Linked DNA regions of Saccharomyces cerevisiae S288C. The gene in region 4 interacts genetically with the main gene of each other region. Each region holds a gene or a part of one and is shown on either strand. Other genes may lie near its edges.

Region 1 (3,541 bases), on a different chromosome or scaffold from region 4:
CTAACGAGCACAATGAAAAAAATAAAATGTCTGTATCTTCATTATACATTCATTTTTGCCCTTTTTTCTCATTTTTTTCCGTACAGAAAGAAGCATCTAAAAAGATTAGCAGCTCCACACCACTGGTTATTGGACAAGTTGTCCGGTTGTTACGCCCCAAGACCATCTGCTGGTCCACACAAATTGCGTGAATCCTTGCCATTGATTGTCTTTCTAAGAAACAGATTAAAGTATGCTTTGAACGGCCGTGAAGTCAAGGCTATCTTGATGCAACGTCACGTTAAAGTGGACGGTAAGGTTAGAACCGACACTACCTACCCAGCTGGTTTCATGGATGTCATCACTCTAGATGCCACCAATGAAAACTTCAGATTGGTCTACGATGTCAAGGGTAGATTCGCTGTCCACCGTATCACCGATGAAGAAGCTTCTTACAAGTTGGGTAAGGTCAAGAAGGTTCAATTAGGTAAGAAGGGTGTTCCATACGTTGTTACCCACGATGGTAGAACTATCAGATACCCAGACCCAAACATCAAGGTCAATGACACTGTTAAGATCGACTTGGCCTCTGGTAAGATTACTGATTTCATCAAGTTCGATGCCGGTAAGTTGGTTTACGTTACTGGTGGTCGTAACTTGGGTCGTATCGGTACTATCGTTCACAAGGAAAGACACGATGGTGGTTTCGATTTAGTTCACATCAAGGACTCCTTGGACAACACTTTCGTCACTAGATTGAACAATGTCTTCGTCATCGGTGAACAAGGTAAGCCTTACATTTCTTTGCCAAAGGGTAAGGGTATCAAGTTGTCTATTGCTGAAGAACGTGACAGAAGAAGAGCTCAACAAGGTTTATAAATTTCATAACAACTTAATTATTTTCTTCTTTTGTATATCTCCATTAATGTTTATTAGAAATTGAATTTTAAAATAATACATCGTATCTTCCTTTTTCGACTGGCAGTAATATAACGTATAATATATATATTAGGTGTGTGTATATATATCCGTATTGTAATATTGATAGTAAAAATACGCTAACCCTGAAATAGAAGGCGTATGATAAGACGTACTGACACTACGCACTACCACAATATATGCGTATGTGTGTGTGTGTGTGTGTGTGTGTGTGTGTGTGATTGTATTGGAATATATATACTTACTAAAATTAGCTTATATGGTTCGCATATTGACTATTTATAAGGATATTCAACTTGTCTGTCCTTTCTTAACCAAATTTTCTTCTTTCTCTTGGTGGTAACATGTTCCACAAACTTCTCAGTACAATGATCCACTTTGAATTTCTTTATGAAAACAGGGTCCCATAATTCAGAACCGACGCCGAGATCTTTGCAACACCTCATTAATGCATTACTTTTGCAACCTTCTGTAGCAGTTGGTATGCCGGCTTCGTTGAAATAGTCTTGTTCGCCTCTTGCCACACTGATCAATTGACCATGGCAAATAAGACCGTACTCCCTAGTGACCAGCTTGGATGTCACTATTGTTTGTGATCTTGGCACTAGCCCCCAACCGCCTGCGCCAAAAGCTTTGTTCAGTATTCTACGGTATTTAATTTCAGGCAAGTATATCAAACCATCTGGCTTGATTTCTATATCCTTAGGGTCCAGAGGCTCGATTAGATCCTTTTGCACTTTTGCTTCAAAGGGCTTCATACCTAGGCCATACCATGAAGTATACCAGTCAATGTCTCCCTTGACTTGCTTATAACTATTGTTCAAAGAATCATCGGCGGTGCTGCGGGTTTCCAAAGGGGTCCCGCCGAGTTTAGAGTTAATGCCGCTTGAATATTCCTTCATGTGGCTTCCATTGCCAGCTTCCGATTTTGTTGCAAATACAGGCTTGGTTTCGGTACTGTTGAAACTTTTCCTCACTGCACCGGCTGTTGCGGTGTTACTAGTGCCGGTACTCACCACGGTTCTTTTTTGGCAAAATTGAGCAGCATGCGATACACATCCTCTAACCTTGAAAATGCTTTTCATCGTACGCTGATCTTCCTACTTGTCCTTTCTTTCCTTTTTTAGTCTCTACCGTCTTTTTAAATAGTTTCTTCCATTATTCTGTCGATAAATTTCGTGATGTTATTCGTGTATTTCTTGACAAAAAAAATAAAAAATGAAAAATATGCATAATGAAACGCGCTTTATCAAAACTACTCACTCGAATCCTTACTTCTATATTAACTGTACTAAGAAGTTTGTCGATACATATTTTACCAAGATATTTTCTGACAGTCCACAGAAGTACAGATGTCTGTGCCCAAAAAACGTAACCATGGGAAGTTACCACCTTCCACTAAGGACGTAGACGATCCTTCGTTGAAGTACACGAAGGCCGCGCCTAAATGTGAACAAGTTGCTGAACATTGGCTCTTGCAGCCACTACCGGAACCGGAATCACGTTATAGCTTTTGGGTAACAATTGTTACCTTATTAGCGTTTGCTGCTAGATTTTATAAGATCTGGTATCCAAAAGAAGTTGTTTTTGATGAGGTACATTTCGGGAAATTTGCATCGTATTACTTAGAAAGGTCTTATTTCTTTGACGTTCATCCCCCTTTTGCTAAGATGATGATTGCCTTCATTGGTTGGTTATGTGGCTATGATGGTTCCTTTAAGTTTGATGAGATTGGGTATTCTTATGAAACTCATCCAGCTCCATATATCGCGTACCGTTCTTTCAACGCGATATTGGGCACATTGACTGTACCAATTATGTTCAACACTTTGAAGGAACTGAATTTCAGGGCTATTACATGTGCGTTTGCATCTCTCTTGGTTGCAATCGATACTGCGCATGTTACAGAAACTAGGCTGATTTTACTGGATGCCATCTTGATTATTTCTATTGCTGCTACTATGTATTGTTACGTTCGTTTCTACAAGTGCCAATTGCGTCAACCTTTTACATGGAGTTGGTATATTTGGTTACACGCTACTGGTTTGTCTTTATCCTTCGTGATTTCCACAAAATATGTTGGTGTTATGACATATTCCGCTATTGGTTTTGCTGCTGTGGTCAACTTATGGCAATTACTGGACATCAAGGCGGGTTTGTCCTTGAGGCAGTTCATGAGACATTTTAGTAAAAGGCTGAATGGTTTAGTTTTGATTCCATTTGTGATTTACTTGTTTTGGTTCTGGGTTCATTTCACCGTTTTGAATACTTCAGGTCCTGGCGACGCATTTATGTCTGCTGAATTTCAAGAAACACTTAAGGACTCTCCCTTAAGTGTTGACTCTAAAACCGTCAATTATTTTGATATTATCACTATCAAACATCAAGATACTGACGCATTCTTACATTCTCACTTGGCACGTTACCCACAACGGTATGAAGATGGTCGTATCTCATCCGCTGGTCAACAAGTTACTGGTTACACGCATCCTGACTTCAACAATCAATGGGAAGTGTTACCACCCCATGGCAGTGATGTCGGTAAAGGACAAGCTGTTCTATTGAACCAGCATATAAGATTGAGACATGTAGCCACCGATACCTACTTGTTAGCCCATGATGT
Region 2 (3,585 bases), on a different chromosome or scaffold from region 4:
TCTTGTGGCCAGACCAGAAAAGGCTGCGAAGTGAAACGTCAAACTAATTATCAGGTAGTATCATAAGTCTATTACGCACTGCTGTTTATTATTATTTAGGTTAGCGCTATTAAAAACATGTCTGGCTGGCAGAATTATTTTTCAAACCAAAGGCAAACTTCAGTAGTTAAATCAATTGCTTACCAGCACAGGCAATGTCGGCTTTTCTGATATACGGCAACAATTCAGCAATTGGTAGGTCAGGATGGGAAGACTTTCTTGAGGGTAGATAACGGAGGAAATTACGTTCGAAAAAGCGCTCACAATCTGCTCCATCTAAGAAAAACACGTCTGAGCCGGAAACTTTCTGCTCAAATAAGTATACATTCATCTTCTTTGCGATTTGGTCCCAACAATTCACATCCGATTTCTGATGTTCACTGATTATAGTTGACAAAAATTGCATTCTATGTTCCACTTTCATTGAACAAGATCTATTCATTTCAAAGGAGAACCATTCCTGGGAGCAAACAAGTACGACAAAAAGGGCAAGAGTAAAAAAAAAGCCGAGATTTCTTGGAGAACGGATACTCATGACGAAGAATATAACAGTTGCTACTTGAGAAAAACGCTGTTTCATGACTTTCTTGAAAATATGAAATAATTTGAAACGACATGATTGACCAGGAAGTTTGATATTTCCAACCGAAATATTGCTTAACAATTGCTGAGAAGTATTTAAATTCCACTTTCTATCCACTTCTGCAAAATATACTTTAAGGGCTTCTTCAATATAAGGGTGTTTCCTAAAATATTCTATTTTATAGTCGCCGTCAATTCTTGAGGAAATCCATAGAAGGGTTCTCCTAAATGCTACATGGCAGCTAGAACCATCAACAAAAAAAGTATTCTGTGTTCCAAAGTTTATTTTCGTACATATAAGAGTTAAAATCCGCTGCAACACGGTCCCAGCTTTCCATATCTGTGCTTGGCGCACTTTTAATAATTTCTTTGGCAAACTGAGTGATTTGTTTCCCGAAGGTGCGTTCACGATACATTTTGAAAGCTTCCCATGAGAAAGACACTGCTAAAGATATAACTAAGATAACGATGGTCGAATGACGCCTCAAAAAACCTGGATTCCGTTTATGTTTGGTTTGGGGGCCGTCCATGTTTGAGTCAGATGGTCTTCTACCACCGATGCCTGAAAAAACCTTCCAACCAACAATGAGCGTTAAACATAACAATAACCAAATATGGAATGCTGACCTATTGATAACTTCATAGCAATACCAAGTAAAGGAACTTCTGAATACATTCTTTGGTAGTTTGGCATTGGAGGATTCAAAGACATCACAGGCTAAAGCGGCTTCGTTCTTTTCATCTTCACTTTTGCGGCCCTCCATATTTGTGATGATATCGTCCCGGTGACATTTTTTTGCAGTTACAACTTCCTTGTAGTTCTTTTATACAGCTCGTAAATTCATCTGTATCTGTAAGCTATAAAATGCCGCACAAAGTGTGCGTACATTATGCAACAACATTATTGTTGAAATACGAGAATAAGCAGAAACTGGCTCAAAAATGGACAATGCATGCTCGATGTTCGAGGTTCGACACAAAAGATGTGAAGAGAGGGCATCGAAACGTTTATATAGTCCTTACGTAGATAATTTGCAAATAATCGCTGCGCTGAACTTGGAGGACAGCTTGAACCTCCGACACAAGCCACAACTTAGAAGCTGCCATCTAGTTTTATAAAGCATTAAACTTATACAGTAAAAGTAATATTGTAACATTACATTATAATAGTGTTCCTGTTGCCATTTATAAATTTACGGAGGCAAACATCCCACAAAAATACGAGTACTTTTATTATACGAGTTTAAAGTTAAGCCACATATCCTGATACAGAAAGGAAGCTCACTTATAATCTATTCAAGAATATTCAATGACTTTTCCAAATACCAATATCATTTCTTTGTACTGGATGCGTTATAAAAAACTAAAGTAGAACCTAGAAATACCTTCCAATCAAACTGTGACCCCCATCTCTGGATACTTATCCTCCCAGTACTTGTCAACAGAGTTCCTGAAAACGGCCAATGCTTTAAAAATATAAGTGCCCAATTCGATGTGTAATGAACTATTACCAGAATCGTTAATGTTGGTTGCTCCATTACTTCTCATCTCCAGATCAGCATATATACTATTCATATTGGAATTCACAAGGTACGGGGTAGCCACCAACTTTTTAAAAACCTGATAGCAATAACTGCCATCGTAGAAAAAAGATCTATCTGCACATATACGACGGTCATATACAAATTGGTTCATGTCATATGCAATCCGGTCCCATGTGCTCAAGTCCATGTTAGGTTTATGTGTAATGACTTCCGCTAATAGTTTGAACTTACAATCATCATCTAAACATCTTAACTTATATCTTGAGCAGCTTAAGTAAGGTAAGAGGAGTAAAAGGAATAGTGAAATTGTAATTAGTAAAGCCGCTAAGATAATAATCAAAGTATTACCGTGTGCAGATAATGCCAGGCGGTTTAAGATTATGGTAATAATAATATGGATGAAAATATATGAAATGAATACGATATTCTGTTTTAAGAAATAAGCGCATTTGCTGGGGGTTATGTCCCTTGGAAGGATCACTGTCTCACCTTCGCATAATTTTCTTAATCCTTCTGGTCTTGGTTTAGAATTAGATATTAATAATTCTGAACTCATAGCCTTAGCGGGCCCTCACTTGCTTTTGAATTTGTCTTTATACCACAAGTTAACAATTACATTTTCTATATCCTTTTTATATTGTTATAATTCGGGACTTAAAAGCGGGAATATCTAGAACTGGGAGGATTGCATCATTTTTCTTGGCCCGTATGTTTTTCTTCGAGTTTTGGCCGCAAGACGAGTAAGAAGAGGACAGAAATAAGTATGTTGCATAACTTTTGTAGAATTTACCAGAAAAACTCCAATATAACTTACTTCATTATGACATATAAGCTAGATCTTGATTTCTTTCGTCAACATACTAAAGCACGCTATCGGAGACTTCTTCAAACCCTTTCTTATGAGAACACTTAGCTGACTGTACATTTAAGAAGCTTTAGAGATGAGCCGTCACCATGAATATAGCGATGGTTTTGTCTACAAGGAATACCAACTATTAATACCATTTCCTACAGAAAGTTTTTAATTGAATAAAATACATTAGCGCCATATATTGCCTTTTTCACTTTTCTTTATATCTAGCTAGAAGAAAAATACTGTGCCTCGAAGAATAAATTTTTCCCACCGCACAGAGTTGTAGTACTGCTACAAACTGAACTCAACATTTTTTTTTTACCATACGCGGCTCTTCCAATACTAGCTGCTTCTCAGCGGCCTACAATTACGTAATTGCGTCAATGAATTTCCTGAGAACGCTTAAAAACTACAAACTCTACAAATAAGCGACTCCCAATACACGTTTTCTATTTTTAATTAAACTATCAGGAGAGGGATAATATAGTATTACCTCTTCCATTGGAGGCTGTTTACAGCAAATTGAATATGGGCTTAAACATAAGAATCTGTACGAGGGTCCAAATC
Region 3 (3,971 bases), on a different chromosome or scaffold from region 4:
TCAGCAGACATAATGCAGAATGAACCAATGTTTCAGGTCCAGGTGGACGAATCTGAAGACAGTGAATGGAACGATATTTTAAGAGCGAAGGGTGTAATACCAGAACGTGCACCTTCGCCCACTGCAAAGTTAGAAGAAGCATTAGAAGAAGCAATTGCCAAGCAGCATGAAAATAGACTAGAAGATAAAGACTTGTCGGATTTGGAAGAACTAGAAGACGATGAAGATGAAGATTTCTTGGAAGCTTACAAGATCAAAAGATTAAATGAAATCCGCAAATTACAGGAACGTTCCAAATTTGGAGAAGTTTTCCACATTAACAAACCTGAATACAACAAAGAGGTTACTTTGGCCAGTCAGGGAAAGAAATATGAAGGTGCACAAACCAATGACAATGGTGAAGAGGATGACGGTGGTGTCTACGTATTCGTTCATCTCTCGCTTCAAAGTAAACTACAAAGCAGAATTCTGTCTCATCTTTTCCAATCTGCTGCATGCAAATTCAGAGAAATAAAATTTGTAGAAATACCTGCCAATAGAGCAATTGAAAACTATCCCGAATCCAATTGCCCGACATTAATTGTATATTACCGGGGTGAGGTAATCAAAAACATGATAACGCTACTAGAACTGGGTGGTAATAATTCCAAGATGGAAGACTTTGAAGATTTTATGGTAAAAGTTGGCGCTGTTGCAGAAGGAGACAACAGACTGATAATGAACCGAGACGATGAAGAATCCAGGGAAGAGAGAAAATTGCATTACGGTGAAAAAAAATCGATCAGGTCAGGTATTAGAGGAAAATTTAATGTCGGCATAGGTGGAAATGATGATGGCAACATTAATGATGATGATGATGGATTTTTTGACTAAATAGTGCGAATATTCCTTATTTACAGGCTAAGTGGTGTCACTATCCCCATTATTTAATATATACAGATATAAAGAACAGCAAACTTTGTCATGTACTTCTCTGAATGTTTACGCGAGGATTACGGTATGTATGATTGAACATCGCTGCAGCATGGATTTTAGTAAGAGCCGTTGTCATGGCAACCAATTAAAGCTCTTTAATTACCGTCAAGCATACTTAGGATACAGATACAATAAAACCCCTTATTAAGTTCGAGCAGGCACATCTTGACAGAATAAACCTTTTAAATCGTCATATGGAGCATGGTCTGGTATCAAGTTTTACTACTTTTTCGCTTTGTTGTCAGAGGATAGAAATTTACTTTTTCTAGTTGTGCGTATAAAGAACACTATGGATGCAGTAATACAGAAAGTAATCTGTTCTACTTCGGTGCATTTTCAAACTGAATTCTACCACAAACCCCAGAATTATTATTATGAGTGAAAAGAAGAAAGTTCTAATGCTACATGGTTTTGTCCAATCCGATAAGATATTTTCTGCGAAGACTGGAGGATTACGAAAGAATTTGAAGAAGTTAGGTTACGATTTATACTATCCTTGCGCCCCACATTCAATTGATAAAAAAGCGTTATTCCAATCAGAGTCAGAAAAGGGTAGAGATGCTGCGAAGGAATTCAACACCTCAGCGACTAGTGATGAAGTATACGGGTGGTTCTTTAGAAATCCCGAATCTTTCAATTCCTTTCAAATAGATCAAAAGGTGTTTAACTATTTACGTAACTACGTGCTAGAAAATGGACCATTTGATGGTGTCATTGGATTCAGCCAAGGTGCAGGTCTTGGGGGCTACTTAGTCACTGACTTTAACAGAATATTAAATCTTACTGATGAACAACAGCCCGCTTTAAAATTTTTTATTTCATTTAGTGGATTCAAATTAGAAGATCAATCCTACCAGAAAGAATATCATAGGATTATCCAGGTGCCCTCTCTACATGTAAGGGGGGAGTTAGATGAAGTTGTAGCAGAATCTAGAATCATGGCATTGTACGAGTCATGGCCCGATAACAAAAGGACATTGTTGGTTCATCCTGGAGCCCATTTTGTCCCAAACTCGAAACCATTCGTATCCCAAGTTTGCAATTGGATCCAAGGAATTACTAGCAAAGAGGGTCAAGAGCATAATGCCCAACCTGAAGTAGATCGGAAACAATTTGACAAACCTCAATTGGAAGATGATTTGTTAGATATGATCGATTCCTTGGGTAAATTGTAATTCGATAATTGATATTTATATGAGCTACATACAATTTTTATAAAACTATTGAAAATATCGACGAGAAAAAGGAATAGTGTGACTTTTCTGCCGCCTTCTTTGACGTTTGATTTTCTATACCTGATTTATATCTGTTGCTAAAGAAAGAATTTTCGCGGCACACGAATGATATATATTTAACGTAAGGATTTCTTTTATCTGGCGGAAGTATCTCAATATATTAATATTAAACGCTGTTGAACACTATCCTAGGAACACTGACAGCTAGAAGTGATCATAAGACATTGCATATAAAATAACTATTAATTTTAATTAAAAGAATTTAATTAGAACAACAGGAAGGTGTTATAAGAAAGTGCGAATGAGTACAAATACGGAAATCATAAAAAATAGTGATTTGCAAAGTTTAATCAATGATAAGAGGAGGTTAATAAATGAAATAAAAGACTTTAATAAATCCATTAAACCCTTGGAGTTTGAATCGTATCAGGATTATTTCCTGATAAAAACGTTCAAAAAAGGAATATCTGCAAGTGGCCATGTGGATATTGACAGTTTAAGAAATAAAGAATATGGAATATACTACAAGAAAATCAAGAGGAACTCTACACAAGAAGTCGGCGAACCAATCCCTCGCAACACATCCTCCTCCTCCTCTTCTACTAGATCAAACTCATCAGCTGATATCAGCGATACAGAATATTCAGGTGAGAACACTCCTACAACTACTGGTGCTGCCAGTCGAAGAAGACGTACGAGATCTCGAGCTATTCAAAGAGAAAATAGTCTACCAGCATCTTTACCCTCAATTAGTGAAGCGAATGCAAACAATGATGATGTTACTATTTCTGAAATAAATGGAAGTGAATTGCCATTTCCAATTCCAATATCAGAAGTGGAAAATATTGACATTGCTTCAGATATAACTGAAAGGGATGGTATTAGAAGGAGATCATCAAGGATATCAGAAAGAGACAAAAGACGTTCACAGTCTAGACTGGGGTCAGAAGAAGATGAAGAAGGCGACGGACATGACGGAGATGAAGGGGAGACCAAAATCCAAGACCTATATGAGAGTTTGGTACCCAAAATTTTGGAGTCACGTAGAAGGTCTGATTGGATCCTCCCTCCTAAGGCAAGATATACACCAGAAAAGCAAATGAGGACCAAACCGTCATTCAAGAGCATAAAGATTAATGAACTTGTCGGGAATAAAAGAATACGAAGTATATTATCTAGATTTGAAGGTGGTGTAGCGGGTATACGCAAAAGAGATTGGGACTCTACCCAATAGCTTCTTTGAAGAAGTAAATAAATATAAATAGAGAGAAATATGACGTATCAATATTATTTATGGCGCTGGTATAATTCAATAGCATCTAATAGCGACTTGGGGTCCGGTTTTGGACTGACCACATCAGAGGTTACATCATTATCATCCAGATATTTTTTAGTGGTAGGTCCGATGGACGCAACCCGTAGATGGGAACCTGGTAGGCGGTTACTGTCACCCAAATACTGAGTAATTTCTTTCGTTCCCTGGGGACTGAAAACTACCACCCAGTCCGAGAATACTTCATCCTCATCGCATTCTTTCATGGCGTGTATGAATCTTTTAAAACCGTCGCTTAATTCTTCAGTTTTATAAGTAACCACTTCTCTTACTTTTATTCCCTTGCTATGGAGTTTCTTTGGGATGATATCTCTTCTAATTTCACCCACGAGAAATAATAGTTCACTTGGTGGGCATGCCTTAATATCCGTACTCAAGTCATCAATAATTATATCAGCAAGGATTGAACCATTACCAGCGTCTTCTCC
Region 4 (4,743 bases):
TTTGTTCCAAGTACCAGTACTGTTACAAGTTATCGCCCATCTAGCAATTTTTCCTCATTTGACAAAGAATACAGTAACGAAAACGACGCTAGTGGGGAATTCTCTGCTTTCAATACTCCAATGGAGAATATACCGGCACTAAAAGGTATACCTAGATCCACGTTAGAAGAAAATGAAGAAGAGGATGTCCTAGTACAAGATATTCCGAATACGGCACACTTCCAAAGAAGGGATATTATGGGGATGGATACTCACAGAAAGGATGACAGTTTAGATTTTAACTCTTTGATGCCACACGGTAGTACAACTAGTAGCAGCATCGTAGATTCTGTTATGACGAACTCAATATCCACTACAACAAGCAACGCGACCGGAAACTACTTTCAAGATCAAGATAAGTATACATTGGTAAATACGGGATTGGGATTGAGTGATGCAAACCTCGATCATTTTATTAGATCTCAATGGAAACACGCTTCTCGATCAGAATCCAATAATAATACCGGAAATCGCGTTTCTTACAGTGGCTCAACACCAAACAATGTTGATACAACAAAGACTAATTTGCAAGTGTATACCGAGTTCGATTTTGAAAACCCAGAGTCGTTTTTCCATGAGCAATCGAAGCTACTAGGTGAGATGGGCCACAGCAATAACAACAGCAACAGCGCCATCAACATGAATGAACCCAAGTCTGCGGATACATACATTGGAAATATATCTCCGGATACTTCAGCAACTGTTTCATTAGGCGACCTGATGGGCTCAAACGTTTCAAACAACAGTGAAAGAAATTTTTACGATGGTCATACTTTCGTTCCACAGTATCAGGCGAACTCATCTGTGGAAAACTCAAATAATCAAAATGCAGCACCAATTGCAAATAACGACATTGATAATAATTTACAGTCTTTTTATTTTGATAATAGCAACTAAAAAAGGAATGAAAAAAAAAAAAAAAAGTTCAAAAATAGTAACAGATATCTTTCGAAAAAGTTAAAAACTGGTAAAAAATTTTGAATAGAGTATATAAAAACTAATAAATATGTTTAGTTATCATACACCATAGAATAACTACTAGAGATATTATTTCATTTTCGTTTTCATTTTTTTTATTTTTTTCTTTTCAATAAGGTAACAGAAAGTTATTTATGCATTCTTGTTCTACATGTCTTATGTATACTAATAAGCTACTACAGGTATTTTGGTAGTATGGCTTTTAAATGAGTTATTAATTCTTGATCAGTCCCTGTAGGATTATCAAACTGCCACCTAATCGCTTCGTTATTAATTTTACCCAGCCATGGACCTGGCTTCATTTGAAGTAGTTTTGCCATTTGTTTTCCGTCCACTATTGGTTTTAGTTCATGACAATTATTCAAATTATTGTCAAATATGTAAGAATAAAATTCATTGTAATTTTGGAAAAGTAATTCAATTTTTTTAGTTTCAAGCTTGGGAATCTTTAAAAATGCATCTGATAGAGATGCAAAATGTGCTGTTTCCCATTCGCCATTAAAGTTCCGTAGAAATATACCGATTTCGGATTTTTTTAGCTGGGAACGATCTGCAAACTTAGCAAGTATTTCCTCATATGAACATATTGAATCTACGGTCTTGGCAATAACTGCTGCATCATTTTTACTCAGCTTCAATCCTTCCTTCACAATGCTTTCTGTCACCGAAACCAGGTTGTTAATTTTCTTCTTTGGGTTCCCGATTATTTGTAAATTAGCCATGGGGGACAGGATCGCACTCAATATAAAATTTTGCTGAAATCCTGGCGAACGACCAATTTTTTCCCTTAAGATAGGAAGCTTCTCTAAAAACATTGGATATAATTCAATAAAACTTTTCAAGTGTGAGTTTAGTATGTTATCATTGTATACATGATTAATTTTGTCCATATCTTGACAATTCTCTTCGTTGAATTTTACGACGGAGCTATCATTATGCCAAAAAAAGATAACATTTTCAAGATGAGCCCTTTGAATCAGCTGCAAAGCCAATAAAGGGGTTGGTCCTACTAATATTTTCTCCATCTCCACACCAACTCGCTCTCTAGAAATTTTTGAATTGAATGCAACATTAATCTGAGGATCGCCCATTTCAGCCATCACTTCCGGATCTATGGTAAAGTTGAATCTAGAAGCAAAACGGATCAACCTCAAAACCCTCAAGGGATCATCCAAAAATGTTTGTTTTGCAGGAAGCGGAGTACGGAGAACGCCATCTTTTAGATCTTGCAGACCTCTCTTGGTGAAATCTTCCACTTCACCTTTATGAATGTTATAGAAAAGAGCGTTCAATGTAGCATCCCTTCTTAAAGCGTCTTCCTCGGGTGTGCCAAAGCACACTTTAGGTATCCTGGAAAGTTCAGTATACTTTTCAGATCTTAAATTGACAAAATCCACTTCAACGCCAAAGAGCTTAGTAGTGGCAGTTTCCAGATGCTTGGATTTCTCGGGATTCTTGTCAATCTTGTGGATATTATGAGGCTTGGCTCCATATTTGGCGTAATGTTGTTGCAAATACTCGTTCAAACCAGTAGCAAATTGCTCACCTGACATCACATTGATGGCAATATCCAAGTCGTGAGAACCTTGTCCCAGAAGCTTGTCACGCACCCATCCGCCCGTGATCCGAAGAGTCAATGGCTCAGGCTTATTGTGGTACTTTTGATTGTACAAGTCTGTATAATCGTTCAGCAAGTTACAGATGTTCTGTTCCACTTTGGTTAAGGTGATTTTGGGTGCATTTAGAACAAAATTAGAATTCGTCATCGTTTTCTGAGCAGCACTATTCATCAGTAGAGATATAGTAGACCGTAGCATACACAAAAAAAGCCCTTATAACCCACGGATACGAATTAATCTCGAGGGAAGCGTTGCGATGTATTATGTAGTTTCCTTTAGTACATTGTTAATATGGTAGATTTTTGCGATTCATTTTTCAACTTTTCAACCCTAACGAATGTTTTTTAGGGCTGAGTAACGACAAGAACACAACCCTAAAAATCAGATGACCTAAGGGTTTGGTGAATCGAGAAAGTATGCCCTATTTCCCCCGCCCATACACCCCATAAGCCTTAACCGCAGCCCTCCTCTCCCCTAAACGTTTCTTTTTCTTTTTCCATTTTTTTTTTTTTTTTAGTTTTACTTTCTTTTTATTCGGAAAAATCTTTTCTATATTTTTCAAGGGTAACCTCATCGCCATGCAATTAATCACATAGACTCCTTAAGTAACAATGGCAAGGCGATAATTTTAAGAGAATTGCAGACGCTGTACATAGATCGTTATCAGCAAAACATATATTCGCATCGAAGGCGTTGCTTGTCCCTGAAGTAGCTACTTGCGGTTTTCATCAAGCGGCCAATTTAATCATTCTATCAGCATTATTTTAAAATAGGGGGACTTAACCTTTCTATTAGTACCACTTATTTTATAGATCTGCTGGAGAAAAATAAACAGATAAAAAAAAGGGAAAAAAAGAATAAGACTGTCTTGGTGAGGATATTCAGTTGCGTGAAATCATGACGAAACTAATCGCTCCTTCAGAAATCGTGGGCGGAGTGCCCGTCTTCAAACCCACATACGAGCAATTCGAAGATTTCTATGCATACTGCAAGGCCATAAACAAATATGGCATGAAAAGTGGTGTTGTGAAAGTAATCCCACCTAAAGAATGGAAAGACAAATTAGATCTGCCTTATTCTGCGGAAACGCTCCAAAAGATCAAGATTAAATCACCTATTCAGCAGCATATTTCTGGTAATAAAGGTCTTTTTATGGTGCAGAACGTGGAGAAAAACAAGACCTATAACATTATACAGTGGAAAGATCTTTCTAAGGACTATGTGCCTCCGGAGGATCCTAAAGCAAGACGTAATTCTAGGAAAGGCTCCGTTTCCAAATCCACGAAGTTGAAACTGAAAAATTTTGAATCGTCTTTTAATATTGATGATTTTGAACAGTTCAGGACGGAGTATACAATAGATTTATCTGACTTCCAAAATACGGAGAGATTAAAGTTCTTGGAAGAGTATTATTGGAAAACGCTAAATTTTACTACGCCTATGTACGGCGCAGATACACCAGGATCAATCTTTCCTGAAGGGCTGAACGTTTGGAATGTTGCCAAACTACCGAACATCTTGGACCATATGGAAACAAAGGTTCCTGGGGTGAATGACTCCTATCTATACGCTGGTCTATGGAAGGCTTCTTTTTCTTGGCACTTGGAAGATCAGGACCTGTATTCCATAAATTATATTCATTTCGGTGCCCCAAAACAGTGGTATTCGATACCGCAAGAGGATAGGTTCAAATTCTACAAATTCATGCAGGAGCAATTTCCCGAAGAAGCCAAAAATTGTCCTGAATTTTTAAGACATAAAATGTTTTTGGCTTCGCCCAAACTGCTGCAGGAAAATGGCATACGATGCAATGAAATTGTCCACCATGAAGGCGAATTCATGATCACTTATCCCTATGGTTACCATGCAGGGTTCAATTATGGATATAACTTGGCAGAATCCGTCAACTTTGCTTTGGAGGAGTGGCTACCGATTGGGAAGAAAGCTGGAAAATGCCACTGCATTTCAGACTCAGTGGAAATAGATGTTAAGAAACTCGCTAAATCTTGGAGGGACAATAATAAAGAGTCGAAAGGAACGCCACCCCTCAATCAATTACCCAATCCTGCCATGCCCTTACTTCACAGGCCAACTTTAAAAGAAATGG

What was found.
Region 1: mutations in CCA1 (region 4) and MGM101 together harm fitness more than expected from each alone (negative genetic interaction), as found in Saccharomyces cerevisiae (one large-scale study listed by BioGRID).
Region 2: mutations in CCA1 (region 4) and ECM34 together harm fitness more than expected from each alone (negative genetic interaction), as found in Saccharomyces cerevisiae (one large-scale study listed by BioGRID).
Region 3: mutations in CCA1 (region 4) and RFM1 together harm fitness more than expected from each alone (negative genetic interaction), as found in Saccharomyces cerevisiae (one large-scale study listed by BioGRID).

The regions. Positions count from the first base shown.
Region 1 is NC_001142.9:699,344-702,884, reverse strand, and holds MGM101 (Mgm101p), read right to left. Parts: upstream 2,004-3,541; coding exon 1,194-2,003; downstream 1-1,193. Other genes in the region: 40S ribosomal protein eS4 RPS4A, read left to right, coding at 87-858; PMT4 (dolichyl-phosphate-mannose-protein mannosyltransferase), read left to right, coding at 2,271-3,541. UniProt on the Saccharomyces cerevisiae protein: Performs an essential function in the repair of oxidatively damaged mtDNA that is required for the maintenance of the mitochondrial genome. Binds to DNA.
Region 2 is NC_001140.6:12,701-16,285, reverse strand, and holds ECM34 (Ecm34p), read right to left. Parts: upstream 1,386-3,585; coding exon 873-1,385; downstream 1-872. Other genes in the region: YHL042W (uncharacterized protein), read right to left, coding at 167-619; DFP4 (DUP240 family protein), read right to left, coding at 2,014-2,721; PXP3 (Pxp3p), read right to left, coding at 3,437-3,585. UniProt on the Saccharomyces cerevisiae protein: May be involved in cell wall organization and biogenesis.
Region 3 is NC_001147.6:843,171-847,141, reverse strand, and holds RFM1 (Rfm1p), read left to right. Parts: upstream 1-2,511; coding exon 2,512-3,444; downstream 3,445-3,971. Other genes in the region: PLP2 (Plp2p), read left to right, coding at 13-873; FSH3 (putative serine hydrolase), read left to right, coding at 1,350-2,150; uroporphyrinogen-III synthase HEM4, read right to left, coding at 3,498-3,971. UniProt on the Saccharomyces cerevisiae protein: Tethering factor required for histone deacetylase HST1-mediated repression. Probably involved in targeting HST1 to a subset of SUM1-regulated genes.
Region 4 is NC_001137.3:519,836-524,578, forward strand, and holds CCA1 (tRNA adenylyltransferase), read right to left. Parts: upstream 2,835-4,743; coding exon 1,194-2,834; downstream 1-1,193. Other genes in the region: BCK2 (Bck2p), read left to right, coding at 1-936; RPH1 (Rph1p), read left to right, coding at 3,534-4,743. UniProt on the Saccharomyces cerevisiae protein: Nucleotidyltransferase that catalyzes the addition and repair of the essential 3'-terminal CCA sequence in tRNAs, which is necessary for the attachment of amino acids to the 3' terminus of tRNA molecules, using CTP and ATP as substrates. tRNA 3'-terminal CCA addition is required both for tRNA processing and repair.